4 linked regions of the Caenorhabditis elegans genome follow. The protein of the gene in region 2 purifies or fractionates together with the protein of the main gene of each other region. This does not show direct contact. Each region holds a gene or a part of one and is shown on either strand. Other genes may lie near its edges.

Evidence for each region.
Region 1: the proteins of asg-1 (region 2) and sdhb-1 fractionate together in Caenorhabditis elegans (co-fractionation; one large-scale study listed by BioGRID). This does not show direct contact.
Region 3: the proteins of asg-1 (region 2) and mrps-31 purify together in Caenorhabditis elegans (affinity purification with mass spectrometry, with the first as the bait; one large-scale study listed by BioGRID). This does not show direct contact.
Region 4: the proteins of asg-1 (region 2) and ndub-10 fractionate together in Caenorhabditis elegans (co-fractionation; one large-scale study listed by BioGRID). This does not show direct contact.

Annotation. Positions count from the first base shown.
Region 1 is NC_003280.10:9,348,333-9,355,857, forward strand, and holds sdhb-1 (Succinate dehydrogenase [ubiquinone] iron-sulfur subunit, mitochondrial), read right to left. Parts: upstream 4,400-7,525; coding exon 4,330-4,399; intron 3,683-4,329; coding exon 3,534-3,682; intron 3,483-3,533; coding exon 3,249-3,482; intron 3,203-3,248; coding exon 3,074-3,202; intron 2,902-3,073; coding exon 2,677-2,901; intron 2,628-2,676; coding exon 2,538-2,627; 3' UTR 2,382-2,537; downstream 1-2,381. Other genes in the region: cup-15 (Coelomocyte uptake defective protein 15), read left to right, coding at 4,668-4,808, 4,856-4,984, 5,051-5,177, 5,221-5,658, 5,707-5,840. UniProt on the Caenorhabditis elegans protein: Iron-sulfur protein (IP) subunit of succinate dehydrogenase (SDH) that is involved in complex II of the mitochondrial electron transport chain and is responsible for transferring electrons from succinate to ubiquinone (coenzyme Q).
Region 2 is NC_003279.8:8,690,061-8,696,100, reverse strand, and holds asg-1 (putative ATP synthase subunit g 1, mitochondrial), read right to left. Parts: upstream 3,156-6,040; 5' UTR 3,154-3,155; coding exon 2,929-3,153; intron 2,882-2,928; coding exon 2,711-2,881; 3' UTR 2,633-2,710; downstream 1-2,632. Other genes in the region: pbs-7 (Proteasome subunit beta), read left to right, coding at 44-222, 268-379, 457-738; K07A12.5 (Pre-mRNA-splicing factor SYF2), read left to right, coding at 957-978, 1,022-1,163, 1,216-1,327, 1,443-1,580, 1,627-1,745, 1,792-1,886, 1,931-2,048, 2,097-2,399 and 1 more; mrps-15 (Small ribosomal subunit protein uS15m), read left to right, coding at 3,610-3,690, 3,742-3,805, 3,856-3,944, 3,990-4,209, 4,257-4,327, 4,374-4,538, 4,591-4,740, 4,819-4,971; hbs-1 (Tr-type G domain-containing protein), read left to right, coding at 5,172-5,214, 5,264-5,323, 5,372-5,682, 5,808-6,026. UniProt on the Caenorhabditis elegans protein: Mitochondrial membrane ATP synthase (F(1)F(0) ATP synthase or Complex V) produces ATP from ADP in the presence of a proton gradient across the membrane which is generated by electron transport complexes of the respiratory chain.
Region 3 is NC_003281.10:3,624,989-3,633,654, forward strand, and holds mrps-31 (Small ribosomal subunit protein mS31), read right to left. Parts: upstream 5,385-8,666; 5' UTR 5,379-5,384; coding exon 5,283-5,378; intron 5,236-5,282; coding exon 5,141-5,235; intron 5,097-5,140; coding exon 4,935-5,096; intron 4,889-4,934; coding exon 4,454-4,888; intron 3,616-4,453; coding exon 3,252-3,615; 3' UTR 2,246-3,251; downstream 1-2,245. Other genes in the region: sel-8 (Protein lag-3), read right to left, coding at 2,077-2,132.
Region 4 is NC_003279.8:10,517,440-10,524,538, reverse strand, and holds ndub-10 (NADH dehydrogenase [ubiquinone] 1 beta subcomplex subunit 10), read right to left. Parts: upstream 5,180-7,099; 5' UTR 5,179-5,179; coding exon 5,022-5,178; intron 4,634-5,021; coding exon 4,071-4,633; intron 3,989-4,070; coding exon 3,926-3,988; 3' UTR 3,778-3,925; downstream 1-3,777. Other genes in the region: F59C6.3 (uncharacterized protein), read right to left, coding at 1-80; dhhc-12 (Palmitoyltransferase), read right to left, coding at 634-801, 844-965, 1,010-1,103, 1,166-1,396, 1,615-1,732, 1,926-2,005, 2,068-2,156, 2,357-2,387; UPF0598 protein F59C6.12, read right to left, coding at 2,575-2,751, 2,798-2,938, 3,377-3,438, 3,481-3,563, 3,610-3,668; exos-3 (Exosome complex component RRP40), read right to left, coding at 5,378-5,617, 5,667-5,943, 5,995-6,158; nlp-4 (Transthyretin-like family protein), read left to right, coding at 6,637-6,639, 6,687-6,831, 6,881-7,099.

The sequences.
Region 1 (7,525 bases), on a different chromosome or scaffold from region 2:
GAGAACTGTTCTGTTGTACCAGTCTTAACTCAACATCCATTGAGTTTCAGAATTAAATTTTTGTTGGATAGTAAAAAAAAAATATTTTTCCACATTTTATCAGTTAGACTTTTTTGATATTTTTATGTTCAGCCAAGTTACAGACCGTTTTTCGAAAAAATCCAATTTCGCTCATAAAACTCTTCATATCCAACGTATCGACTTGAAATTTTGAACAATGATCACTTTTTTGAGGTTTCTACAATGTCCTAAAAAATCTTTCAAAAATGTTGGCTCATCTCCAAAATCGTCCTCCGCTCTGAAAAAATGAAATTGAGCTTTTTTGGTCGAAAAAAATATTTTTCGAATGCTGAGAACACGTTAAACACGAATATCATGTTCATTTTGAGATCCGGATGTTCTGAAAACGTCTGACATAGATTTAAAAAAGCATCGATTTATTTTCATTTTCAACGTGAAAGTTTTGTGCAGCTTTTAGATTTCAAAAGAATCTCAAAACTCTAAATTTTGAGATTCTTTTGAAATCTAAAAGCTGCACAAAACTTTCACGTTGAAAATGAAAATAAATCGATGCTTTTTTAAATCTACGTCAGACGTTTTCAGAACATCCGGATCTCAAAATAAACATGATATTCGTGTTTAACGTGTTCTCAGCATTCTAAAAATATTTTTTTCGACCAAAAAAGCTCAATTTCATTTTTTCGTCCATTTTTCGGAAGGCAAAGGTCCACTTTCTTTTTTCAGAGCGGAGGACGATTTTGGAGATGAGCCAACATTTTTGAAAGATTTTTTAGGACATTGTAGAAACCTCAAAAAAGTGATCATTGTTCAAAATTTCAAGTCGATATTTTTTCGAAAAACGGTCTGTAACTTGGCTGAACATAAAAATATCAAAAAAATTCTAACTGATAAAATGTGGAAAAATATCTTGCAATTATTATTCATTAACATTTTACTTCTGAAACTCAATCGATGTTGAGTTATGACTGGTACAACAGAAGAGTTCTCAAAAATTCCTGTGATTTTTGGTAAAATGGCTTTTACTCTGTGTAACTCAACAAATAGTTTGAATATTGAAAACTGTAAAGTAATGCAAAAAATATATAAAATATTTTTAAACATTTTATCAGTTGAGTATTTGTTTCCTAGACGTTTATTTTTCAAGATACACAAGTTTGAAGATACGAAATTTGGCGAGTTTATGAAGTTATGTGATCCCCCAGAGAGTCTTGGCTTGCCTTTTGGTGACAGATTGTTTCCAAAATTGATAATTGAATGTAAGAGTTCGAATAACTTTATGAAATTGCACATGACGTAATATTATAAAACATTATGGACCAAGAAAACAAAATTGTACGATATTTATGAACATGAGGAGTTTGATTGTACGAGAAATTGTGATTAAAACCTTTATTCATAAATACAATACTTTATAGAGAAATAATAATTCCGTTTCCACGTCCTTCCAATGTTTCCATAACAGTAGTATGAAAATTTGATCTACATACATACATATCAAGTTCAATTTTAATTTTCAATTTGGGGTAAAAATACACAAATCCCATAGTACTTTAAAAAATTATGAGTCGAATCGCTCAACTGATAAACCGAATAAATCGAACTATCTCGGGTCTTGGCACGAGCGGAACTTTTCTGCAACCGTACCCGTGTTTTGCGCCAAAACTACAGTACCTTTTTAAATAAATAAATATTTTTTTGAATCAAAATCTATGAAAAATCTACGAAAATAAAGTTTGGAACTACAGTATTCTTTAAAGGGCATTCGTTTTGAAATTTCACAAAATATGTCGTGTCGAGACCGGATACCGTATTTTCGGCGCAAAAATGACAAAATTTGAAGTCTGTACATATAATATACGAAAGTTTTTTTCTAATTTTTAAGAAATTAATAGATCTATGATAGTAGTTTTATGATAGTGAAGAAAACATATTGAAAGCAGAAAATTGAAAAGTTCTTGCAATTGACATGGGAAATTTCAAAAGAAAAAAAGGTTTTTCAAACTGAAAATCAAAAAATTTTGTCAATATTTACAACCTTTGTATTTTGTTCTCAGCATCCGGGTAGTTTCAATGTTTTCTAACTTCCCGTAATTAATTTTCCGTCTTAATTTTCCGTCCTCCTGTTCTCATCTTACTTGTCAAGCCAACCTGTCAGTATCATATTATCGAACTAATTATGTTTTTGTCTCGACCCTGGGAGAGGAAGACACACACAAAGGATCATACTTGTTTCAGATTGGGTCGGTAGAGTAAAGAACACGAAAAGGTTAGGAAGAGTTGAATTGATAGAAATGAATGTTCATTGTGCAATGTTTTTCGGGGACTTTTATATTTTAATCAAACGAAATTTTTACAGTTATCTACCAATTCCGTTTATTGTGCAAAAAGAGGAGGCTCGTGGTATAGACATCGGAAAACGGGGATAGATAATTCGGGTATTTCGAAAAGAAGCGACAATCGATCAACCAGAGCTAAATATTACATCGAATCTAGGCAAAACAATGGAATTTTCTTATTTAAAATGCTGATGGCTCAGCGGCTGGCTTCGATGTGAATCCAGTAAGCAGCGATTTGATCTCTCCGATGGCCTTAGCTGGGTTCAAGTGCTGAAATTAATTCGTTTAAGTCGAGATATAAAACAGAGAACACTCTAACTTTTGGGCATGTCTTTGTGCAATTCATGATGGTGTGGCACTTGAAAGCTGAGAAAGAGTCGTGCATACGGTGAAGGCGTTCGGTGGCGTAGTCATCACGAGAATCGATGACCCATCTGTAGGCTTGCATGAGAACAGCTGGACCGAGGTACTTATCAGCATTCCACCAGTAGGATGGGCATGACGTGGAGCAGCAAGCACAGAGAATACACTCGTAGAGACCATCCTAAATATATAAATTACTTTATAATGTTGTGATAATCATGAATAAATTATTGATTTTAGACTTTTATTTCGTTTGAAAAAATGAATGTTTTTCATTTTAAAACTTTTTTGAGTTAAAAATTATGTTATGCTTTTTCAAATACTTCTGCACCAGAAAATATACTGAAACTTACAAGACGATCACGTTCAGCCACACTTTGGTGCATCTGCTTTTCTCCAAGAGTCAATGGGGTCTTCTTTTGAATCCATGGTTGAATAGAGGCATATTGAGCGTAGAAGAGGTTCATATCTGGGACAAGGTCCTAAAATAAAAGGTTTATTCGTTTTTTTTAGATTCTAAAACAATACCTTCACAACGAACATATGTGGAAGTGGGTAGATTTTGGTGCTCTTTGAGGTATCCGAATCGATTTTGCAGATGCAAGCCAAAGTGTTTTGACCTCCGATGTTCATGGCACAGGATCCACAGATTCCTTCACGACAACTTCTTCTGAAAGTCAAAGTTGGATCGACCTCATTCTTGATCTTGATGAGAGCGTCGAGAATCATAGTTCCGCATTGGTCAAGATCAACATCGAATTTCTACAATAACTATTAAATTTTAAAAAAAGAAAAAAAACTTTGAAAATCAACCTGCACAGTTGGCTTGGCTCCTGGTGCTTCTGGGTTGAAACGATAGATCTCGAACGTCTTGATACGGTTTCCGGTCTTCTTGGTCTTGGCGGCTACATCATCAGTTGATGGAAAAGAGGCTTCAGCCGCCGCTGCAGTAGCTGGCGCTCCTGAAACAGTTCCAATAAAATAGTGTTAAAAATGGTGAATTTAAGGGATAAATATTATTCTTGCAACGTTGAGCTCAAACAAAATTAAAAAAACGTTTTTCAAAACATTATTTTTGTTTATTATAAAGTCTTGCTATAAATTTATAAATTCCCTTTTCTCAAATTTTTTGAATTTTAAATTTTGATTCAAGAAATTCCAAAACTGATATTTTTAAATTAACAGAACTTTGAATGATGGTTAATATTTACGGAACAGTATTTGATTTTTAAAAAAAAATCTGCGTTTTTCATCTAATAACACGACCGAGCTTTACAGCTTTCAGTGCCTACGTGTAAAATGGAAAATTTTAGTTTTTGAAGACATAATATAATTTTCTGACATATCCAATTTCATGTAATGTTAGAAAAATTATTCAAAGATAATTAAACAAAATAAAGCTGAACATAAAAAATTGTCGTCTTATTAAAAAATAGTAACGTTGAAAAAGTGCTGCCTACGTGCAAAACACGAAACCTTGTGAAATCTCGGGTAAAGCCTAATATTTCTCGTTAAAAAATGCTTTCCTAAATAATTTATATTTAATTTTTCTAGTATTCCACACGAAGTACCATATTTGATGGAAAATTACCAAAATTAAAAAACGTACCCGAAGCAGCACGAATGGCGTTGGCGGCGAGCTCCGCCGAGTGCAGAAGACGAGCCGAACGGGCCAACATCTGAGATTTATTCAATAAATCAAAGTTTAATAGAAATTAAAATGTAAATACAAAGAAATTTGTTGAAAAACATGAGACAATAATGGACGTGACTATTTATTTTTTGTAACGAGACTCCGAAATAACGCAGTGCATGTTGTTTATAGTTTGAGTGTGGATTTACGGGCAAACATTTATTTTGTTTTTTATTTATTTGTTTGTTTATTTTAGTTTTAAAACTATATTAAAGCTAGAAAATGCTTTCTTTTTAATAAAAATTATTTTGCAGATGGTAAATTCACTTTCAAGGATACTTTTCTGCAGCTTACTTATATTTTCCGTGATTTCTCTTCGAGAAGAGCGGCTCGAAACAGCGCCGATCACTGATGATCCTTGGGATTTGGATGGACCCTGTCAAAAATATGTGGAAGTAAGATTCTTCGAAGTATTTAATGCAACTAAACATCTTTATTTCAGAAACTAGCTGTTGTACAATCGGAAATGGTAGCATGCGCCACAAACTGGTCAATTCCACCTGTAGTTTGCACAAAATGCTTTCAAAACTACATTAATTTCAAACAATTTGAATATGAAACAAAAAACCTGGTGAGTATAATTTGAAAACAATATTTTTTAAAACCGTCTTCACATAAAATATGAATTTTATTACAGAATAATGTCTACTCCCTGGATAATCGAACTTGCTCTCAAGTTATTTATGACAATTATCTGCTCTCGTACAGTACGGATATATCAAAAGCTTTAACTTCAGAAATTTGGGAAAAATCCAGATGTGACTGTGAGTATATCGGCAAAAAAAATCATAAATTCCCATTTTTCAGCCTGCATAACAATTAAATGGAATTTTCCGCAAAACAAATCGGAAGTGTCATTCAGTGAGAGGACAATGCAATTTCAGAACAGAATGTATGAATGGAGAAATTGTGTTGTTAATTACACATCTGGAGGTGTACTGGATGATAATCTTACCAATGGAAGTAAAATCTGTAATCTCTGCAAGACCACCTTTGACGAACTCTTTGGATATTACTGGAAAATCTACACAACTCCAGATGTAGATTTTTGTGTCGACGTGGAGACTACGATGAACGATACAATTCATTTATGGGATGATGTGTGGAAATGTGCTGAAAAACAAGACAGAAATCGTGATTTATTTGGAATTATGATCACTTTTGGAACATTATTGCTGCTCACAGCTCTATTTTATGCTGCCAGCTACATTCAGGGTGGCGGTGAAACGAGGCGTCTTATTCAATGTAAGATTTTCTGTATTCCTTGAAATATATTATATTATTTTCGTTCAGATGCTCGTCTATCAGATCCACATGGCCAAAGATCACGTCTTCTTTCATCGGGAATGTCGGATGCAGATCTTGTTAGTCGTGTTTCTCCAGGATCTTCTGTGTTATACAATGTACCAATCCATCAGACACGATAACAATTGCTCAAATTGATCCAATTCTTATATTTGTTTGAAATTTAATTTCGAAACCTAGTCCTTGCCGAATACGTGCCTGTGTTCTCTTTCCTGTGATGCTCTCTTGCTAACTTTGTTCTTTTTGTATATTTGTGATAAAATTGCAATTCAAATTCAATTACTTCGAATTCTATTTAAATTATTTTGATGTTAATTATCATCACGAATATCTATTTTTCTCAAACTATTTCCCTTGCCTGAACTCTATTTTTCTATTTTCTAACTCTATTTTTCTTCTTTCCAAAATTCTAACTTTCCGATTTCCTGAAGATGCTCCATCTATACACTTCTCTCCCGCAAATTAGACTTAATCTATCTCAAAATTCAGACACTTTCTCACATGTTTCTTTCGAACTTTTTTATGTTGGTTTTCTTCCACTCGCCACAAAAACGAGAAGTCGCCGAAATGACCGTCCTAACGAGCTTGTTAACCGCATGTTGCTCCTGCTCTCCGTGCTCTAACCCAACAATCCGGGTGAAAAAGTGAAAAACGACGACGAGTTCTTCTCCTCCGTCCGGCCAAGAAGGAGGATACACTGTTTGTTCTAACACACACAGAGGGATGCGCGTATATCGTCCGGAGGAGAAGCGGCGGCGCGCGCGCAGCCTTCTTATCGGTCGGGTTCATTCCATGTAAATAGTTGTTGTTCGATGGATGGACACCAGTCAACCGCTTTCACTTTTTTTCTTCCAAATTAGCAATAATTTTTCAACAAAAAAAACATTGCAATTGAAAATTAATAGTCCTCCTGAGCCATTTATAACATCCGAATACGACATCTAAGTAATTTCCTGATAATTTATTCTTGGGAATATTCCGAGACATCCATATCCGGTACCAGGTGTACCAGACAGGTGTTCAAGCTGCTGCAGTCATTCATTCACACGTCGGTGCTCCCAACACTCCCCTCAATACCTTCCTCTCTCCTTTTTTTAGTTCTCGTCAATTTGGCTTCCATGTTTGTCAAATCGGCAACTGCAGCAGCACCTCCTTTTGGTGCCACTCGAATGCAGGAAATGTGTGTGCATTTTTTGTCGATATTTCTCTTATTGAGCCTAGCCGACGAATGTCACCTTGTCCGCTTTTCTAATACATTCGAGATTTCAAAAGCTAAACAATGACAACAAATTGAGCACTACGTTGGTCCCCTGCCATTCCCAAGCTGCTACTTCCTTTTGCTTATGCTTTTGAACATCTTTCTCTTTTCTTACTCTTCTCATCCAATTCTCTTCGTCAACCAATTCACACGCTTCTTGTCAATGTGTACATGTTCGTTTCCCTCCTCCTTCAAAACCAGCTGTTTTCCGTCCAAATCTCATCACTCTACTCCCAATTGATCCTTCGTACTTTTTATGTGGACCAGCTGATCTGATGATACTGCTGATAAAGTACATGTCTAGAGGGCTATTTTAAAAATAAAGTAGATATATTTTCTGAACATTTTGTTTTACTAGAATTGACTTGTAAGTTCTTCTATTGTTCAAAATTAGCGAAACATTTCTTTGACTCCATATCTTGTCTTCAGTCTTTGTTACCGCGATCAAATTCCTTTTCTTTGTATATACTTGTCCTATGATAGTGAACATCTCAGCGCCGCACCGCGAATACCTCGGAATAATCAATCCAAATTAAGGACATTCTTGAT
Region 2 (6,040 bases):
TTCCGTTCAGCTGAAAGTGGATTTTCATAATATTTGTTTCCAGAATGTTTCTCGTCAATACAAGGTCAATGATAATGTTCTCATTGCCTTCGGAGGAGATCACGCTGACTTCCACTGGCTTCAAAATGTGATCGAGCGTCAGGTTCTTCTCTGGAAGCGCTTCGATCAGGATATTGGACCAAAAGCTCTCCACGGATACCTCACAAGCCTTCTCTACGCCAAGTCTGTTTTCCTAATTAAATTGAAAGTTTAAGTAAAAAATTTCAGACGTTGCAAGATGAACCCAGTGTGGAACACACTTGTTGTCGCCGGAGTCGAAGAGGAGGAGAAGAACAACAAGGAGACTAGCACACCTTTCATCGGTGTCATTACTCAGAAGGTAAACTTGAAAGCGTTAACTTGCCGGATCAGAATCTCATGATTAAATAATCACATAATAATTATTCTAAATTTCAGGGATGCGCATATCAAGTGAAGCACATTGCAACTGGACTTGGAGCGTTCCTCCTCAACCAAGCTGTTGAAGATGAGTGGAGAAAGAAGGGAGAAGACCTCTCCCGTGAAGAGGCAGAAGCCGTGCTTCGCAAATCGCTTGAACTTACTCTCTACCACGACTGCGTCGCTGACAATGAGTTCGAAATCGGACGTGTTGATGCGACAGAAGGTGTCGTTTTGGGTAAAGAAGAGAAGATTATTGGTGACTGGTCGATTGCCGAGACTAACTGTCAATATGAATAAGTTTTCCCCGGTGTGCAGGATGCGTTTCAGTATCTCCATGTTTAACTTATTTGTATCCTTCTTTTCAAAACATTTTACTCTCTCCAACCCACGTTTTCGGTGTAAATTTTATTTATTTTCGCGTGAAGTCGATAAATAAACTTCCATTTAATCCTTCTATTCACGTCTAAGTATTCACACGCATCATTTCACAAGTGCTCGAGTCAAAAATAGCGAGCATGAATTTCTCTGGTTTAAAAAGTATGATGAGTTTTTGGTTTAAAGTAAAATCGAGCGCTTTCAGGTAAACTCCAAAAGCTCAGTTTATCACCATCGCCTGATAAACAGAAATCTGATTATGAAAAGAAACAGGCGAAGAAGATGAGCTACAAAAAGAAGATGCAGCAGCGGTATAAACTGAGTGATGATCAGTATGAAACTCACAAGTAATTAAATAAATTGATGTATATGTAATAACTTATCTGATTTGGTTTCCAGGAAGGATGCTCAGAAACAACTGAAAAATTGGGAAGAATTTCGAAAGGAGCAAGTAGTTGAAATCTTTCATACGCAGTCTCAATACGTTTCGAAATCGAAAAATTCAGACGTGGTAAGCATACAGTATATATATATATATATCTCGCCGCGCAAAGGAAGTGCTTAATTACGGTTTTTACTATCCATCTAAAAAGTTAAAAAGAAATACATTATTTCTTGAAATTCAGCGCCATCCAAAGATGCAACGAGCCAATACGGTTGTCAATCGTCAAGGAGTGAAAGTTGATGTAGAATTTGGACGATTGAAAGAATACTACTTATCCACTTTGGCTCCACAAAAAAAGTTTGTGTCGATTCGTGATCACGTAACATAGAGATTATAGAGAAATTTACTTTAACCATGAACTTTAGGCAGCTCGTGAAAAGGAACTGGACGCTCTTCGTAAGAAACAGAAAATCAGTTTGGAGCAAAGGAAAGATAAACAGGACAACATAAAAAAGTCCCAAGCAGAGTACGATCAGATGAAAAGGTTTCAATGGGTCGAATGGTTTTATGTAGAAATTATCATATTTTAGCTTATACGCTGCCCCTGTCGATCCCAAGCAAACAAAAGTGGAAACAATGGAGCAAAAAGAAGTTTTAGAGCCAACAGCCCCGATGGAGAAATTCGGTAAAACTACGAAACAATACAGAAATCGGAGTGTTTATTTTCAGTTGTGAATACCACTGACGACAAAAGAGCCCTGTTCCCAGCCAGTTGGTATCAACAACCGATTTCCCGTTCGCAATTGAAGAAAGGAAAGATGATTTATTGGATGGCAAAAGACGAAGAGTAATTTTCGTGGCTTGCATCCGTTGGATCTTAATATTTGAATTTCAGAGAGGATATGACGTTGGACGATGATCCAGAGGGAAAGTACACGGTTACTGCTGAAAAGTTGATTGAGACAATGACTGCTGGGGGGAAAGTTAAACATGCTGGAATAACAGAACCACCTAGCAACACAGCAAACACCATCATGTCCGAGTCCTTGGCATCAATTAATGCGAGATACAAGAAGAGTTGTGAAAGAAATGCTGTTTTCATGAATACCTTGCACGGTACTATTGAATTCAACAAGAAACAAGTATCTGTAGATAAAACCCTCTCTACAAGTTCAATAAGCCAGGATGATGCGACCGAGTAAGAATTTCGAAACTGATTTTTCTCTAACGAGTTTTATTTTTAGCGCTCCGAATCAAATCATTTTTGCTCCAACAATCACTTCTCATGTTTTCAAAGGCCGATCTCTGAAAAGACAGTATGCAGTGAAAAATAAGGCACTTGAAACTTTTGAGGAAGATCGGAAGGATTACACTCGAGAGGCTGGAGAAGAAACTAGTGGATTGTAATTTTTTGTATTGAACTAGAAAAATAAAGCCTTAATTTCTTTTATCTAACAAACGTTGAAGAAAAAACACATATTTTCACAAATGAATATGCTTATCGATGTATTAAGCTTCGAGGGCAGCGAGTCTCTTCTTTTCGGCAACCTTAGCCTTTGTATCCTTCGAGACATAATTGGCTGGAACAATGTACCCGAAAATGTAGCGACGTCCAATCATTTCTCCGACAAAGAACCAAAAGACTACCTCGAGGGCAACTGCCGAGTAGACGAGACTTTCCTGAAGTTATTTTTTATTGAGTGTTGTTTCAGCGTGTAACAAATTACCTTGATACTAAGGTTGACATATTGCTTGGTCTCAATAAACTTCTGGAGCTTAGCCCAGTCCGCCTTGATAGCTGGGATGTCAGCAGACCGGGGTGGAGCCAGCTCGTGCTTTCCAACAGCCTTGAGAATAGCGAGACGGCGTGGGAACTGCTGAGCTTGATGACGGTAAAGAGCTCCAAAGGTGTTGGCCAACTTTTCGAAGAAGCTCAGCTTGTGGGTCGCCATCGCTGAAAATTTCGAGTGTGAATGAGAGAATGTGTTTCGAAATTAATAAGGCAATAAAATTGGGAGACGAGGGAATCAATTATTGAATAGATCATTAAAATTTATTTGTTCCTTAAATGAAACTTAATAGAAAGGGAATAATGTTGCCCATGAGTGCTCATTCATTAAAAAAATCCCCCAAAATACAAGCAGCCCGTTTTAATCAAGACAGTAGTATATTTGAATCGTGGTGGGACCCTTTAAGCAATCGAGAAAGAAATCCTTGGTTTTTTTAATTCAGCGAGGCTGTCCGCAGTTGAGCGGCACGGTGTTTGCGGACTTTTACAAACCGTATCTCATTGAGTTCCAAGGCGCCGTGGAAATTTTTTTTGTTTTAATTTTCATGAATGATTAGATTAATTAATATTAAGTCAGTTTTGAACGGTATTTTTGTTCAATTTTCTATAATACTTTCAGATGATAAATCTTCGAAGATTTGTGCACACATCGTGTCGGCTGGAACGAGGAAGAACAGCGTTCTACAACGTTCATCAAAAAGTGGGTGGAAAAAAAAACAAAACTAGCCACAATTTGATATATCATTTTCAGGTCACCGACCCAGCCAAGCAAGATCCGGATTACTTTGAGAAAAAAGCGAGAGAACTGCCACTGGGTGAGTATATTCAAGTACCGAGATATATATCTCTATTAAGTGATTTTCAGATCAAAACTACATCGATGCACTTACGAAGCTTTACTACGAAAAAATTGGCAGTGAACGCGATTTGGGTTTGAAAGCAGCTGATAATTTGGTATGATAATCAAGAGTTTTATAGATATAAGCAATATTCTTGCAGATTCTCGAAAAAACCGAATTCGGATTGCCTCGTATTGAAAAATCGAAAACTCGTGCGAAATATGAAGATTTAGATGTTCTTTCGAATGCTCCAGAGTCTGTCAAAAAGATTTTTAGTGTTGAAATGGCGACGAGAAAAGAGTTGTCACAAGAATGGAAACAAAGTCTTATCAAATCAGTAAGGCAGCATTCTCTCGATGAAAATAGTTTGGAAATGAAAAGTTTGTTTGAGAAATAATCACAAAATATTATCTAAAATTAATTTCAGTTGCCTGGCTAACGGCTTTAATTCGGCATTGGTCTCTTCTTGTTAATGACATTGGACAGGAAACCAAAAAAGTAGTTTAACATTTTAAAAAGGCAATATTTCTAACATTTATTGCAGAAGCCAACATGGCTCACCCATCGAATCTGGCTCGTAATCAATGAACGCCGTAAAGCTCTTCGTATTTTACGTGAACGTAATGAGACTGCATTCGAGAAAACAATTGCCGCTCTGAAAATTTCGTATCATGTACCGAAACAGCCAGCTCATGTGAAAACTAGAAAGGTAAAGTTTGCAAATTGATAACTTTAAACACTAAAAAAACAACAAATTTCAGGCATGGGCCGAAGCACAATTAAAGTTGAGAGTTGAAAATGAAAAAGAGAAGCGATTGGAAGAATTGCACGAAAAGTACGATAAAGAAGTTGAAGAGCATAAAAGAGAGACACAAGAGAAGAGGAAAGCATTGAATAATGAATTGGATAAAGTAAGCAAAATATACACTTTGAAAATACCCTTTTTAAAACTAATTTCTGAAACGTTTCAAATTCAAACGAAATTTCAGCTTGCTCAAGAAATGCGCCAAATTGACGTTATCGAAGGAAAATCGTTTGAAACAGTTGGAAAGTATGAACCAGCTTTAATCTCTTCACTTACTGAAACTGTTATTCATTCAAATCTCTTCTATCATCCACCACCAACTATGACTGAAAAATAATCTCATTTAGAAGTTCAGAATTTTTTTTGTTGTAGTAGGATCTTTCTTATTATTGTTATGCTATTATTGAATTAAAATTTATTATCCCTCCATGTTTCTATTATGATTTCGTTAAATCGGTTGTAAATCTTCCGAAACTTTCTATCTATTTGAACGATGGGAAAGAAAACTTGCGAATTAAATATAAAACAGTTCTTCAGATGTCCCGCCACCGTGCTATTCGAAATTTAAATTTAGAAGATGGTAAGCTTCAAAAAAAAGAAACCGAAGATTAACAATTTTGTCTTTTCAGAAATGGACGACGATTATGACGACGATTACGACGATTATGAAGATGAGGAGAACCCGGAAAGTAAGAAAAACTTTATTTTTCATTCAAATAATTAATTAAAATTTTCAGAGCAATATACATATGATCGTAATTCATTATCCACAAACTACTATACATATCTGACAGATAGTGGTCGCAATTCACCAGCTCTTCCTGCTCCACATCCTGGTATTCCATCATCATCGTATCATCCACCTGTATCAACTCCAACACCTACTGCAGCTCCAACAACTTCCCTATCTTCTACTATTGTACGAAATATGACAGCTCCATTGCTCCATCAAAATCAAAAACCACCGAAGAATCTTAATAGTCGACCGAGTACACCACAAACGTCTAGCAATTTGAATACTCCAAAAAGAACGCCGCAAGTTAAAAATGTGAGCTCGAGAATACTTTAAAAAATTCAACTGTAACTTAAGTTATCACGTAATCCAATACGAGAATTTTCTTTGAAAGCATCATTTCGCATCTTATTTATATCTTATATATACTAATTTTTCAGCTTCAAGCAGAATCAACAACTCCAACTGTGAGCCGCCCATCTTCTGAAGTCGATTTAACATCATTTCGACGCAATCAACTGCAGAACATCGCGAAAGCTCCGTCAGTTGCCCGAAAAACACCAAAACCAAGAGTTGCTGATAAAGATTTAATTAACTTGATTGTCGTTGGACATGTCGATGCAGGAAAAAGTACTCTCATGGGTCATTTACTTCATGATGTAAGTTATTGAAA
Region 3 (8,666 bases), on a different chromosome or scaffold from region 2:
AACGATTTTTCACGGCAAATCGGCAAATTGGCAGAAATTAAAATTTCTGGCAAACTGGCAGAAATGATAATTTCCGGCAAATCGGCAAATTGCCGGAATTGAAATTTCCGGCAAATCGACAAATTGGCAGAAATGAAAATTTCCGCCAAATCGGTAAACCGGTAAACTGCGAGAAATGAAAATTTCCGGCAAATCGGCAAATTGCCAGAAATGAAAATTTCCGGCAAATCGGCAAATTGGCAGAAATTAAAATTTCTGGCAAACTGGCAGAAATAATAATTTCCGGCAAATCGGCAAATTGCCGGAATTGAAATTTCCGGCAAATTGGCAAACCGGCACATTGCCGATTTGCCGGAAAAACGGCAATTGCAGAAAAGTTTCGGCAAATTGTGGTTTTGCATTTTGGAAATATGAGAATTTCAATTCTAATCGGCAAAAACAAAAATTGGCAATTCGCCGGAATTTAAAATTTCCGGCAAATCGGCAAACCGGCAAATTGCCGGAATTAAAATTTGCTTGAAATTTCTAAATTGCAAAAATAATTAAAATACCAAAATTTTGCAGAGCACTTCAAATTAAAAAAAAAAAAACTTCACAATGAAATGCAAGTTTTTAGGTTCAAATCAATTTCAATCTTCTCAATTTCATCTAAGAATTTCACTCAATTGTCTCACATAGACATTTACACTGAAAAGTGCGGACAGGTTATCAAAAAGTCAGTCAAAAGGACGAAAGCATTGGAGGTGCGTGATGAGAAGAGGCGACAACGACCACATAAATGATTTGGCAGTTTAGTCCCGGACGGGCGCCATCGTCGAATTTTAATTGGTTCCGTTGTCTCTGTCGAAGTGAAGGAGATGGAGATGGATGAAATATTGAACAAAAAATGAAAAAGTTGGTGAAATTTAGATTGCATTTAGATAGAGAAAATGAATATTTTTGGGTGAATTCTACTTCAAAAATTTCTAGGAAAAGTGTGTGTAAATACGGATAATAGGAGTTTTCAAGGAACACTGTCTAGGGTCAACTTCTCAAAAAAGAAAATAATAATATATTTTCAGAACCAATTTTAGAAGGACAAACTAGCTCAATTTTCGAGGTTTCTCGGCAATGTTACAGGCTTTTTCTTAAATAGAACAAAAATTACGCTTTGAATGGGAAATGCACCAAGAATTGGTGAAAATCCTCGGGGAGTACACGAGCTGCGTAAATCGACACGAGGTTTTTTATAGACTTTCATGGTTTTTTTTTTCAAAGTTGGGAATCATGAATCACACCAAATGTTACAAAAAAAAAGTATGTGATTTCAAATTTTTAAATTGAAACTATTTTCTCCTTTTGAATTTTTTTGTCAATATTCAAAACAATATTCAATTTTTTCAGCAATTTTTCGGGAAAAAACATTTAAATTTTTTGGCATTTTTTAGTGGAATTTTTTTGTTTTCTGCTACCAACAAATCTTAAAAGTATAAAAAATTTTATATTTTTCTCGCTAATTTCAACTTTTCATCAAAAATTATTGTGTATTTTCAGCAAAAAATTTATTTTTATTTGCTGCAAATTTTGCTGGATTTTTTTTTTGGTTTTTTAAACAAAATTTGATTTTTTTCAAATTTTTTTTTATCAATAGAGTGATTTTTCTTGGTAAATTTAATTTTAATTAAAAAATTTCAATTTTCTTAAATGCGATTTTTTTTCCAAAATTTTTTAGCAAGAGAGTAGTTTTTCTTGGTAAATTGTATTTTAATTATATAGTTTTAATTATCTAAAATTCAATTTTTCAGGTAGTAAAATCCAGTTTTCTATACGAAAAAGCAATTGAAATTTTTTTTTCAAAAGCCACTGGAAGTTGACAAATTCGGCAAATTGCCGGTTTGCCGGATATCAGATTTGCCGGAAATTTTTAGAAGGATTTTTTATAAGACGGAACCCTGAAAACTGTGCTTTTTTGATATTTTTTCCTATTTTTTTATTTTCATAGAATTTGCTTATTTTTTCGGAGTAAACATGTAAAATTGAGGCAATTTTTAGGTAAATTTTTTCCCGGAAAATTCAAAATTAAAGAGAAAACCGCACCTTGGCTCCGAAATAAACATCTCCTCAATCACAAAGAATTCCGAGAGATCATCCATCGACACATATGAGAGTTGATGCCTGAAAAAGAGCCCAAAAATTGGAGTCTCTGAGACTTTCATACATTTTCCGCTTCATATATTTCTTACTCGCGGGGATCTATCCACCAAGTTGTTCAACAAATTTCAAGAAACAAATATTTTGGATAAATTTTGTTGGAAAAAAAACTCTGGGGGTACACAATGAAAAACAGAAAATGATAAAGAGATAAATAACAATTAAAAGTGAATCCTAAAGAAATAAAAAACAAAACAAAAAAAGAAGAAGAAAAATCCTATTCACTATTAAAAGATAGAGTACCGAAATCAGATTCAAAATGTCCCAAAACTTTCGAATTTTATAATGAAAAGTTCCGAAAATTTCTCAAAAAAAGGTTTTCGCAGTTCAAAGTTATGGAAAAATTCGTATTTTCAGCAAAAAAATCAATTTAAGGTTTTTTTTTTGGTTTTTAATCTAAATTCGATTTTTTTCCAAATTTATTGTTTATCAAGAGTCGTTTTTCTTGGTAAATTGTATTTTAATTATCTAATATTCGATTTTTCAACTAATTTTCTACACCGAAAAGCCTAAAAACTTTCGGAACTTGTTGTTTATTTAATTAACACCTTTTAATACATAGTTTAATTAATTTAGATACATTTTCAATTGATGGGTGCACAAATTTTATATAATTTTGTGCGCTCTCAACGAGTAAACGCGTAATATATTACTAAAATATGCATTAAAAGGAAATAAAATTAAAAATTAATTCCGCATATTGATTTTTGTTTCGGTTTTTTTCTGAAAAATAAATCAAAAATTCTGATTTTCTTTGAAAAAATCAAAAATTCTCAGATTTTCTATGAAAAAAAAATTGAAATTTGTTTTTACTTTCCCGGAAAAATCGAATTTTTTAAAAATTTTCTCCGAAAAAAATCGGAATTTATTACATTTTCTCAGAAAAACAAAATCGAATTTTTCAAAATTTTCTCAAAAAATCGCTTTTCTCTGAAAAACATCGAAATTTTTTGAACCACCCTAAATTTTTTTTTTGAGAAATTTTCAGAACATCTCATTGCGAAATTCGGGTTAAATTTCGGTACTCCACCTTCAAACAAAAATTTAAAAAAAAATTAAAATTAAAGAGCATTCTGAGCAGCAATCTGTTCCTGTTCGTGAAGTTTGTGAACCAATTTCTGTTTTTCCGTATTGAAATAATCAGCGAACCACTTCAAATGTTCCCGCTTCTTCGCTGCTGTCATATATGGATTCTTGGATAAACCAACACAAACCAAATGCATAAAATGAGCAATTGGACCAGATTTCGGGATACCCAATGATGGTAAATGTCTCTCCAAGAATACGTGATCAATGAATGAAACATTCGATTCATCGCCCATTTTGAACTCATTATCGATTGGATATTCCCATTGTTTTCCTTTTGTTGTCCATTCGATTTGTTCTTCGAAAGAATTTGTTGGTCCGAATGAGCCGTTGGAAATTCTGAAAAAAAAACGGTTTTTTTAAGGTGGATAATGGATTTGAATGATCAAATAAGTAAAGAAAATTATAACATTTTTCTACATTTTTCCAATTTTTCTTTCAATTTTTCAACACAAAAAAATGCCAAATTTCATGAATTGATTGACTTGAAACATTTTCTATTTTTCGTTTTCCTTTTTTGAAAATCAAAAAAAAATTGTTTCTCGATATTAGTTATTTTTCCGATGTTTCAATTTTTGATTTTTTTAATTAGCTGAATTTATGATAATTTTTCTTCTTTTTAAATGACATTTTTATGTTTTTCATCATCAATATGAACAAAATTAGATAAAAAATCGATTTTGATGGTTAATTTTCTGATCCAATTTTTTTTTGGATTTTTTAGAAAACCGGCAAAATTTCGTTAGTTTCCGTGAAAAAAGGAAAAAAATATCGATTTTTATATAATTTACATAAAATTTCAGACAAAAATCACGAAAAAACGATAATTTCAGCCGGAAAATGCGAATATTTAAAACAAAATTTTTTTACAAAATTGAAAATATCACGCAAAATTTAGAAAAATCTTTCAAAATTTTTAATACTTAGTTTTTCTGATAATTCACTAGTTTAAGCTAAAATCTTCGTTTTTGTCAACTTTTTCGCACCATAGCGACTGGAAATTGTTTTTATAGAATTATGAAGAAAAAACCAACGAAACAACGTTAAAAATTACCAAAAATGTGTGAAACAAATCGCTGCAAAACGGAAAAATTGAGAAAATCTGAGATTTCAGCTAAAATTAGCAATTTTTATCAAATTTCGGGATTTTGAGCCATTTGATTTCATAAATATCTACCTTGCAGCTCTTTCATCCCATTGTTTCCAGAAGCCAAGGGAAAAATCTTCATATTTTTCGCCCTTTTTCCAGATTCCTAGAGGCTTCTGATTGAACAATTTAATAGCATCATTGTCAACTTTCACAGGTTTACGAACAGCACTACTAATCAAATCATCCTTGTAAATCTTTTCCATAAATTCCAAGGCCATCGTGAACAACTTCTGATCCTTCTCACTTCTCTCCGTCTCTTCAACTTCTTCTTGTTCCACCTTTTCTCTAACATCATTTAGAAGAGCTTTTCGCTGCTCTTGGAGCTTTATCTGTGCTTCATTGACAATTGTCTCTGATTTGACACGAGCTTCTTCTGTCGTGAAGCCACTTTGAACTGCCTGATAGAAAATCTCTTTTCTGAGAAGAACAAGTCCTCGTTTTTCTTGTCGAAGTTGAGCGGATCTGGAAAAAAAATGAAATTTGTCACGGATCATTGAAAATGGCTCACTTGGGAGGAAGCTTCTTCTCAACTTTGGCATCGCCCGCCACATCGGCAAGAAGTCCGATAAGTGCCTGATCATCGAGCATTTCACTGCTTGCAGAAGCTGCGGCAGCATCAAAACTCGCTTTTTCGTTTGCTACTAATCGATTGATCAATGTATTTTTTAGTCTGCAAAGTTATATTTGAATCTTTTTTATTATTTTTCACCCTACGATTTCTTTTCGGAGCCATTCTGCGGGTGAATATTATTCGCTACTCCTTCAATCGCATTCAGCAAATCCTCATCAATCGCGTCTTTTGCACCTTTCTGGAAGAAACTGGTTTAAAACTTGAAAAATGAGCCGGAAAACTTACACCATCATTTCCATCGCCCGAAGCTGCGCTGGACAGCAATCGAGGTTGTCTTGCACCGCCAAGTCGAACAGCTATTGAGCACAGACTTCTCAGCATCTGAAAAATCAAATAAAAATAATATTAAAGACTTAAAACTAGAAAATATTGACGAAAATTGCTCGAAAAAACAGCGAAAAACTTAAAAAGAAATATTGGCTAAACAACACGCGGGTGCGGGATTTCGGAGTATCGTCGTGTGTACTCCTCTCGGGGTTAGTTTTTTTCTTCTTTTTTTCTCCGTCTGCCTGCATTTTCCCGCATTTTCCCACGCCTTATCGCTATGTTTTTTTTGACAATTTGTGTTCTTTTTGATTAAAATGTTTCTTATCTGAAATCAAAATGTTATCATTAAATAATATGTAATAGGAAAAAAAACAGAAAAAAACAAAACATTTTTTAAAAAAGATTTTTAATTTAAAAATCAGATATTCTAATAAAAAGCCAATAACATTACGCATCTTTTAGAGTTCTTCTTTTGGAATTAATTGCCACAATTTAGATGTCCTCTACCCGGCCCACTGAAGCTGTAAACTTCCGATTTTCTTCTTGCATCCATCTCCAAACAAATTCCCGTAGAATCTAAAAGCGTTCGGCAATTGTTTATTCCTTTTATTGCAAGAGTTCTCTTCTTGCAATGAAATTGATCGGTCAAAACAAAACATGAAAATGTGCTGCTGCTTCCCCCGTTACTCAGCTCTGCGAGCCCTCGAAGCCGCCGGGCGGTGCTTTCTTTTTTCCCCTCAAAAAGTGTACGAAAGAGAAGGAAAAGAGTCCCAGTTGTCCAGTGTACTTGATTCTTTTTTTTTCGCCACCAAACGTCTTCAGAATATTTATTTTTTGTGGAGCTTCCTATAGAAAGCTCCCCTCCTTATTCATTATTCCGTAGGCGGATTAAATTCGAAATTCAACATTTAACCACAAAAATTTGAATATTGAAGAAGTGTGAATTTTCGTCTCACTTTCTTCTTTATTCTTATATCTCTTTTTCCGTGACGTCTCATCTTTCTGCTTAAAATAGAAAAAAAAGAAAAAGCGTTGTCTGTTGGGAAAAAGGTCGAAAAAGAGGCAGTCAGTTACATAATTAGGTTTTTGTTCAGCAGCTATTGGGCTCAAAGCCCTTTTTAGAGTTCTTTTCTGTCTTCACTCTGCAAGTAATCTGCCGTCATATTCATATTTTCTTCATATTTTCTTAGATCTACCAGTTTTCGCAGTTTTTCTTTCGAATTTTTAGCTTCGTTTTTTGTACTGATTGGCAGAAAAAATTTATTATTTCCTGTTTTAAGGATAATTAAAATTCGAATCGCTCTCACAATAAGAATTCTTTATAAAATAAATACTTCTCAGCGTTTACTTTTGCAATTTAAAGCATAGTTTTTCTGGAAATTTAGCTGAAAACATGTTTAAAGGCGAAGTAATTAAAAAAAATTACTCTATAATACTCAAAATGGCCACGAAAGACGTATTAAAATTTTCGACCGAAAACCAAAAAAAATCAACTTTGCTTTCAAACGGGGCAAAACGGAATATTTTCATGAAATATTCTGTTGATTTTTCATAAAATATTAAAACTTGATCGATTTTTCTCATTCTTTAAAAATTGTTTCGCTGAATCTGAGTTGAAATTTTTTTCAGTTTTTTTGGTATCGAAAAACCAAAAAATCTATATTTCCCAAAAAAAGACATCCCTGATTGTGTCCTCTTTAAAATTTCTCAAAAATCGAAAATTCATTCTAAAAACGCGGAATTAACGACCAAAATGTGACAAAAATGTGTATGATTTCTTTTTTAAAAAATCTTTTTAGCTGTTATTTAGGAATTTTAGAAGAAAAAAGAGATTTTGGCTAGATTTTTTATTTGCCGGTTTGCCGGAAATTTTGTTTTTCGGCAGCTTGCCGATTTGCCGAACATAAATTTGAAAAATCGTTTGCCACCCACCCCAGATGCTTCTTCACTTCACCTTTATAGTTTTAGAAAATAACGAAATTGTTCAATTCGAAGAGTTCTACAGTAATCCTAGTAATCCACGCGTGGTCCATTAAGTCTTTCTCATAATCTTCAAGAATATGTGTTATCTCTGTGTTACATCTATTGTAACTCGAATGAGACTCTTCAAAAGCTCCTCAATTATTCGACACGACACACACATTCTTGCTCCGTGGAGCAAGCTCTTCCTCATAGAGCAGTCGCTTCCAATTAGAAGCTCTCTCTCTCGAAGAGCTCTGTATGATAAACGTTGTTTGACGCACACAAATGTGAATTTCAGAATTTCAAATTCATGACTGCTTCGTCACCAGTCACTCAGCAGAGGAGGCCCCTCTCGAACAAACCCTCGTGGGAATGGTTTTTCTTCCATTTTTCGGGAGAGAGAGAGAGAGAGCTGGCTCGCTTTCGCCTTCATTCCGAACATTGCAAACATTGACCGATCCGTTTTTCCATGACTTATTGTCTTTTGGCATCGATTACGCAACATTCCGGTCATTCTCTTCGGCGAAAAACATAAATTTTTGGCAATTTGCACTTTCTAAGCTTTTGAATTAAAATGAGTTAACATTTTTGGCATTGTCAATTTTTTAAAGAAAGAAAATTCGACAGTTCTCTTAATCTTTTCCAATTCGCGAGTTGCCGAATTTTAAATAGTCGAAAATGTTTCGAAAAAAAAATTTTTGACATTGCCAAATTTAAAATGTTTTTTTTTAAAACTTTTTTATTAACTTTTAGAACAAATTTTAAAACTTTCGGCAACTGTCGATTTTTGAAATTTTCAAAAATTCGATAATCTCGTCAATTGTCGCCTGATTTTTTGAAAACATGAGGAATCTTACTTTTTGTTAGGTACTCGTAAGTGTTTGTACAAACAAATATGACTCAATGCGGGCACTCCTGACACTGCCCTGCTGTTCCAATATTTTCAATTGTGCGCAGTGTTTCACATATTACAAGCCAAAATGTTACAAATTAGTCATTTCGTCAAGCTACCTGTTTTATTCCTAATTTTTCTGAATCATGGTAGGTAATTGTTTTTCTGGTTAAAAATTATTGCTTTTATAGAAGGGGTGGGCGGCAATTGCCGTTGGATTGCAAATAAATTGCAAATTTTTTTGTGGACAAATTCGGCAAATTGCCGGTTTGCCGATTTGCCGGAAATTTTTGATTCAGGCAATTTTTGCTGATTCTGAAATTTCCAAAAAAAAATGCGCAAAATCACAATTTGCCGTTTTCCCACCAAATTGGCAATTTGCCGATTCTCCGGAAATTTTCAATTCCGGCAATTTACCAGTTTGCCGGAAAAATCGTTTGCCACCCACCCCTGATTCTTATAACGATTTGCCGGAAATTTTTATTTTC
Region 4 (7,099 bases), 1.8 Mb from region 2:
TCCTCATCATCAATGGTTGTCTTCTTGCTCTCCGTCAAACTTGAATTTGAATTGATTTTTATCGATTTTGTCGTGCTCATCGCTTCGAGGAAGAAACGAGAGTATGAGAACTTGTGATAAATTTTTTTGGATTTTTTAGAAGAAAAAATCCACGGTTCAAGAAGGGCGGTCAACACGTTTTTCAATGGTTTTAAAAACTTCCAGAAAAAAAAAACATTATTTCCTGTTGAAAACCAATTCAGCATTTACCAAATTCCAATTTCAACATCCACGCTGTATGTGAGCTTGCAGGGTGGAGCTCGCTTGCATTGTTGCTTTTTTCAAGTTTTTTCTTGAAGTCAGGAAGAAACTAGTCATTGGAAAAATATGAAAACAAGCCGAGCTCATTCCATCTCACCAAGCCCTAACAAAATCGCGCGGCTCCAAATTGGAATTCCACAAAAAGTATATTTTCTGAAATTTCTATCCCATGATATTTGTTATTTTGGTTCCATCAAAGTGATTCTGAGCAACCTTCATTTCTTCAATTTTCAACAAAAAACCCGATTTTCAATTCCTTTTATTGCCAACCAAAAAAACTCAATATAAAAAACCACATTAAAAAAGAGAAAATTAGACAATTCTACAATAATTCTACATAATTAACTCCTTATAATCGTTATACGACACAATTTTGCGGGTTTTCGGAATAAAAAATATCTTCCAAAGTGGCTCATCTTGACAGTTCATGTATTTTCTCCAACGAGCTTTGATTGTGAACCAAGTGAAAGGTTTACGAGATTCAGCGTCCGACTTTTGAAACTGGAAATTCTGAATTGGTTCAGATGTTGCCAATTTGATTACCATTTTCATCGCCATAGTTAATCCAAATGAAATGATTCCTACGTAGACACCAACAAATCCCCACATAATCCAATGAAGTGTTACGAAAAGGAAAAATGCGAATTTAACCATAGTGTCTTCGGCTGGAATTTGAGAAGTTAGAAAGGTTCAAATGCATCAGACATACTTCCTTGAGAACGTGTAATCAAGTAGTAATATCTATTAAAACAATATGGAGGCCAGCATTGATCATCCGGGATTGCAGTTAGTTCTTTACGAGTCTGAAGGACTAATAATTTACTAGTTTAAGGATAGGCAGGCACAAGGCAGGCACCAAACCAACCTCTATCCATTTCATCCAAAACGTTGTAGCCATCAAGAAAAAGAGGCCCGTTGCAATTTGAAGATAGAAAAGAAAAAGGAAGAAGTGGCTCTGATTGTGTGCTCCAACACATTGTCCAATATGAGGGCAATGATGATCCATACGGTAGATACATTTGTCACAAGCTTTACAATGAGATGTTGATGGACCTTTCCAATTGTTGCATTTGATACAAAATGAGTCACTGGGAGTCTGAAAAGTTTGATTTGAAATTTTAAGAAAAAAATCTCAAAAAGGCTCTACAATTTCTAGCTTATTGAGAAATGACTGTAAAACAAAGAACGTGTCGATTTACGTTCTTTGTGTGTACTCCTCGTGGAGAAATGTGTATTACAGTATTTGTCTCAAATGCTTGATTTCGGACGACCGTTTATGCTTATGACGTCATATCTTTGTTTTTGGAGGCTTACCCCTGGATTCACAACAGGTGTCAGAGTCCGGGCCTTGTAGTAGTGAAAAACGACACTGTAGTAAATGTAGATAAGGAGCACAAAACGGAACACGAAGAACGACATATTTTGGCATTCGCTGAAAATACACTTCTTTAACTATTGTTAAATAGAGTTTCAGCAAGTTTATCATGCCTGCCTGCCTAACGCCTACTTTCTTTTCCATTGGCGTGGACTTTTCGCGGTAGGCACTCATGTTGGTGCCAGAACCGACCTAGAGGCAGGCAGGAAGGCATTTCTTGCCTGAGTGGAAGATTGAAGGTTTCACTCACTTCCATTCAACTGGTATCATCTTGAAGATTACCACATATGTAACATTGCAGAGTGTGCCCACGAAAATCAGCAGACATAACTGAAAAACTATCATTTCTGCCTTTCTCTCTGGTTGTGCTTCCAATTATCAAAAAATCTCACACGTCCACCCCACAATGCGACGAGCTTCAATACATCAAATGGGTCGAATTTCGAGATATCGCCCAACGATTTTTCCACCAAAAAGTATACTGAAAAAGGGTGATCATCGATATTTAATATTTTTATTGTAATTTTAATTCTCTGCTTAAAGGCGCACAGATTTATTTGAGTGGGTCTAGTTGCGATCAAAAGTTTATGGTAACGCGTTAAATTCCATGCTACCGTAAAGTTTTCGCGGCAAGACCCATCCAAACAAGCTCATTTTAGAATGTTACGTCTCGCAACTGACCTATCCGATTGAAAATCCTACAAACATCCATAATGCAACGTGGAGGAGATAACTCCCGGAAGATCAGGGAATAAACGAAAACTTGAAAAATCGATTTTGAAAGGCCGCCAAAGGGCGTGGAAATAAATTTGAAAAGGGTTCACGTTTAACATTATTTTTATTTTAAATACTTCATTAGATACTTTCCATCAGACAATATACATTAATTATTATTTATTTCATTTCTTAAGCTCAATTATCTGCTCCCCGCACTGAAATCCGACTGGAACGCCGTCATCGTCAAATCGGAACCGGCGATACAGTTTATCCGTCAATTTGTCAGCTACCAGTGCTTTTCCACCAATCGGACATTTGTGATAAACACGGCCGCTTGAATTCATTGAAAGTGATGAGGGCTGAAATTTTAGAATACAGATCTGAAAAATCTGTGCTTCATCTTACTTGAAACGAATGGTAAATGGTTGATTGCCCGATTCGGAGCTCTTTTTCAGTGGAGTCGAGTTCCGTGTAAACAAGTGGAGTGTCGTCGCATCTCAGAAAGTTTCGCTCAATTCCACAAAGGCTTACCCACGGGAATGTATCCTGAAATTTCATATAATTTTTTTTCAGCTCCCTCCACGATTTTTTAATTGAGTATTTAAGCTCAATTCAATGGATGAAACTTTAATTAATTGCATTCGATAGGAATTGATCGAAAATCTAGAACACTTTCAGATTACCCAGAAACGAAATTTCAACATTTTTGAAGTGAAAAATACGGTACCTGGTCTCGACACGACAAATATTTGTTAAACGAGAAAAGGTGTGCGCCTTTAAAGATTACTGTAGATTAAAACTTAAGATTCTGTCGAATTATTTTATAGAAAGAATTGGAAACATCAATAAAAAAATCCGGCAGAAATCACAGTTTTTAATTACAGTACTCTTTAAAAGCGCACACCTTTTCTCATTCAACAAAAATTGTCGTGTCGAGACCGGCTACCGTATTTTTGTTGATAAATCGCAAATTTCGCGTTTTACCTCATATCTTCCCGTCTTGTTTTCCTTGATCTTTCTGTAGAAGAAATTAAGAAACTGAATATCTGAAATTTCGATTTGTTAACAGTTTTTCCTGTAAAATAAACCTTTATAAGCCGCTGTAAAATTCTTCATTCTCGAATCGTCCAGAAATAGGAAACCATTGTGGCTCACATAGTAAAAATATTCTCTGAAAACTCAAATTCAAAAAGAAACAATTAATTTAAAAATAAAACCTTATTTTTCCGTTATACTGCCCCTGTGTGTAGAGACTTCGTGCAAATGTCAGTATCATTTCCGAAACTTAAAAAAGTTAAATTTTGATTTAAATTAATTTGAAAAGAAAAGCTGACTGGTAATATTTCCGTTTCTCATAAATTCATATTCAAATCTTTATAAATCAATCAAACAATCTACATTTATTCACTTTCTGAATGGAATAAAAGAACGCAACATGAAAAAGAAAAAAAAGTTGTTACGACGGAATAAGAAAACTCAACACAATTCGTTCTAAAAAATTTCATTGAAAAAGAAAAGATTGACAGCGTAGAATTAGAAGAGACGGAAGTCGGACTTCTTTCCTTGATCCTTGTCGAATTCTGGGTCTTGTGAGACCTGAAAATATAAAATTTTAATTTTCGATCCAGGATTCTCTCGTAGCTTCTTTTTTAAAATTAAATCTTGAAAGAATATTTACCTTCTTGTAGTATTCCCAATCCTTGGACAATGGCTTGTCACCCTCGAGTGCTGACTTGCTCATTTGGAACTCATATGGTGGCTCATAGTTCTTCTTGTCTTGATAGAACATTCCCTTCTTCCAGAATGAATAGTCAAACTCTCCATTAGCAAGTCGTGCTTTATGATCAGCAAGCTTAGCTGCACGCTCATCCATAATCTCTGGATGACGTCGTTCCCAGATCATTCGATGCTTCTGCTTCATATAAGCATCACGAACATCGGATTCTCCTCCCAACTCTCCGTATTTCATGAAGAAATTCAACTCATTCTCTTCCATATCCTCAATAACCTTGGCACATGGTGAATGATCAGGATTGTTGTAAAGCATACACCGATCAACACGTTGGCGGAGGGTTTGCAGAATAAATCCATCGACCATTTTATCAAGACGGTACTGCTCATTGGCTTCGTAGAAGCAGGCCTTGTCGTTCACTCCGCATTCGTCGATTTCCGGAACACGTGTAAGTTGACGGTGATAGTAGGGTAGACGGTTCTTGTTGTTGAGTGGTTGCACAATAGTCTCTGAAAAGCTGACGAGTTAGTAGAATAGATTAAAATGGATTGTTTTGCCTAGTTGATTTATTATGTGGAACTGCAACTACTAACTGTACATCAGCTTGAGGTAGTCGAATAACTTTGGTTTTTTTCTAGTTTAAAATTATAATTTACAGCAATGATATGGGAATTAGAAATTAACCTTTACTTGCACCACAAGTTCCCAAATTTTTTGAATCTGGATAAAACCGTAGACAGTATCAATTACTTGGAATTAAAACAAATGGTGAAAGTAAATAAACTTGAACGAAATTTGTTTTCTGTCAATTCTTACATTTTGTAAATGGTTTTAAATCTAATTTCAAAGCTGCTTCTTCTTTAAATGATTCTCCAACTTGAGAATTTTAAAAATTACCTCTGAACCAAGTTGCTGGGGCGTCGAAAGCCTTATGGGCATAATAACGGAATCGTGGGTAGATGGATCCTCGTGAATCGATATCACGAACTTTCCAGTAAGCATCCCAAGATGCTTTATCGTCAGCTTGACGTTGCTCCACTAAGCCTTCACCCATACTGAATGTCGAAAATTTTCCATTGTGAATTGAGAATATTGAGTAATAAATATTAAAACAACGAAGAAACGTTGAAAATTGAAATATTACATAGAACAAGACGATAAATTAAATTTTTAAAAAGTTCAACAACAAAAGGAAAAAAAAATCAACAATAGCAGGAATTACACTGAAAAATTAAAAATTGAGATAAAGATTCTTAATCACTGACAGATCGTGTGTAATTATTCTGAACCAGGGTGATAAGCTCATCTTCGTCAGTGATAAACTCTGATTTATTGATAATATCGTGAATCTTGATAATATCATCAGAAGTCGAAGCACTAATCCAGATTCTTCCGTTCATTCCAACAGTGATTTCGAATTTGAAGAACTTGCCAACAGTTTGAAGAATTTTGCAAGATGGGTTGATTAGTCGACGACAATGATTCAAGGAGACCTATAATAATTTTTAAATTTTACAATAAATAGTAAATTTCGTGTCTAACTTTGAACATGAATCCTCCATTTAGCTGTCCCATTCCACGTGCTCGTTTCTCGTCATCCACACAGGTAAGCTCTGCTTCAGTTCTTGGAGTTGTGTCGAAAACTGTTGCATAAATAATATCTCCAGTTTTTAGATTCGGCCTATTCCTTTTAGTAGCACCTTCGAAGTTAGTAAAGTTGATCATGGCGTATTCGGCAGTTCCTATGTCCAAACGAAAGAAATCACCAGTTTTTGAAGTGACAATAGCGATTACTCGGTCTCCTTCCTGTGGTATATATCTGAATTTAAGAAAAATTGTGATTTTAAATGTTGTTCGTGATCATTCTTACCTTTTGCTGTGAACATTTAACCAGACTTTTCCATCATCGTTGTGGAAAGCTCCAGGTTGAGTGGCAATTCTCGTTTGGCCACGTACACTAATTCCGTAGCCAATGATTGAGGAATCGCTTGAAGAAGGTTCATTGATAACGTCGCCAGGGAGATATACGGTCATTTCTGAAAATTGAATACTCAATGATGAACAAAATAACGTTTTAAAAAGTAGTGGCGAATAGAAAAACCAAATTTAAATACCGCAGGAGGAATAACGTAATAAGCTACGTTAATAAAGTGTTTTCAATGAGTATATTAACTGAAAATTGTAAATTTTTGCAATAAAATTAATCAAAAAGTGATAATATTTCGCAAAATAAACGGAAAAACTAGAAAAATAAGAAATAAAAATGGAGCGGCTGTTGAAAGTCTGCGACTTGACGTGACGGTGTTTGCGGTGTTGTATACCGTACCCATTGATTTTTATTTGATATGTTGGAAATTGCAATTAATATTAATTGTCAAGGACTAAAAGAAAAATAACACTGAAAACATAAATGCGTGGCAATTTTTTAAAATAAATATCGACACGTACACCGAGAAAAATTTAGTTTCAAATACAGTTCAACTGAGTTTTTAGTGGTCAAACTGGTTTGTAAATGGTATGTAATATAGTTAGGTTTTTTGAAGTTAAAGTTTTCCCATTCAGCTAGTTGTTGTTCTTTCCGGTATTATTGCCACGTGTCTGGCCGTGAAGCAGACAGATTTTTCCGTGCATATCAAAGGACAACTTGTGTGTGATGATGTCCCTGCTGCCAACATGCCAATGGACATTTTTTCTGAAGCACAAATGTGTAAGAGAGTTTGAAATCGTTCAACTGAATCTAAAATCTTTACTCTCAGTCAGATACGAAGATTTTATGGATCGATGGACAAACGAGAAAGGAGAATTTGATTTCAAAGCCTATGTGACAACTGATGCTTATATGATTACTCCTTATGTCGTTATCATTCACAGATGCTGGGAATCTAAAGAAGTTCCACATCGTTGCGATCGGAAAATCGTCCAACCAATCCCACCACTCAATGTCACTGTTAACTCGAAGACTCCTGATGAGAAGA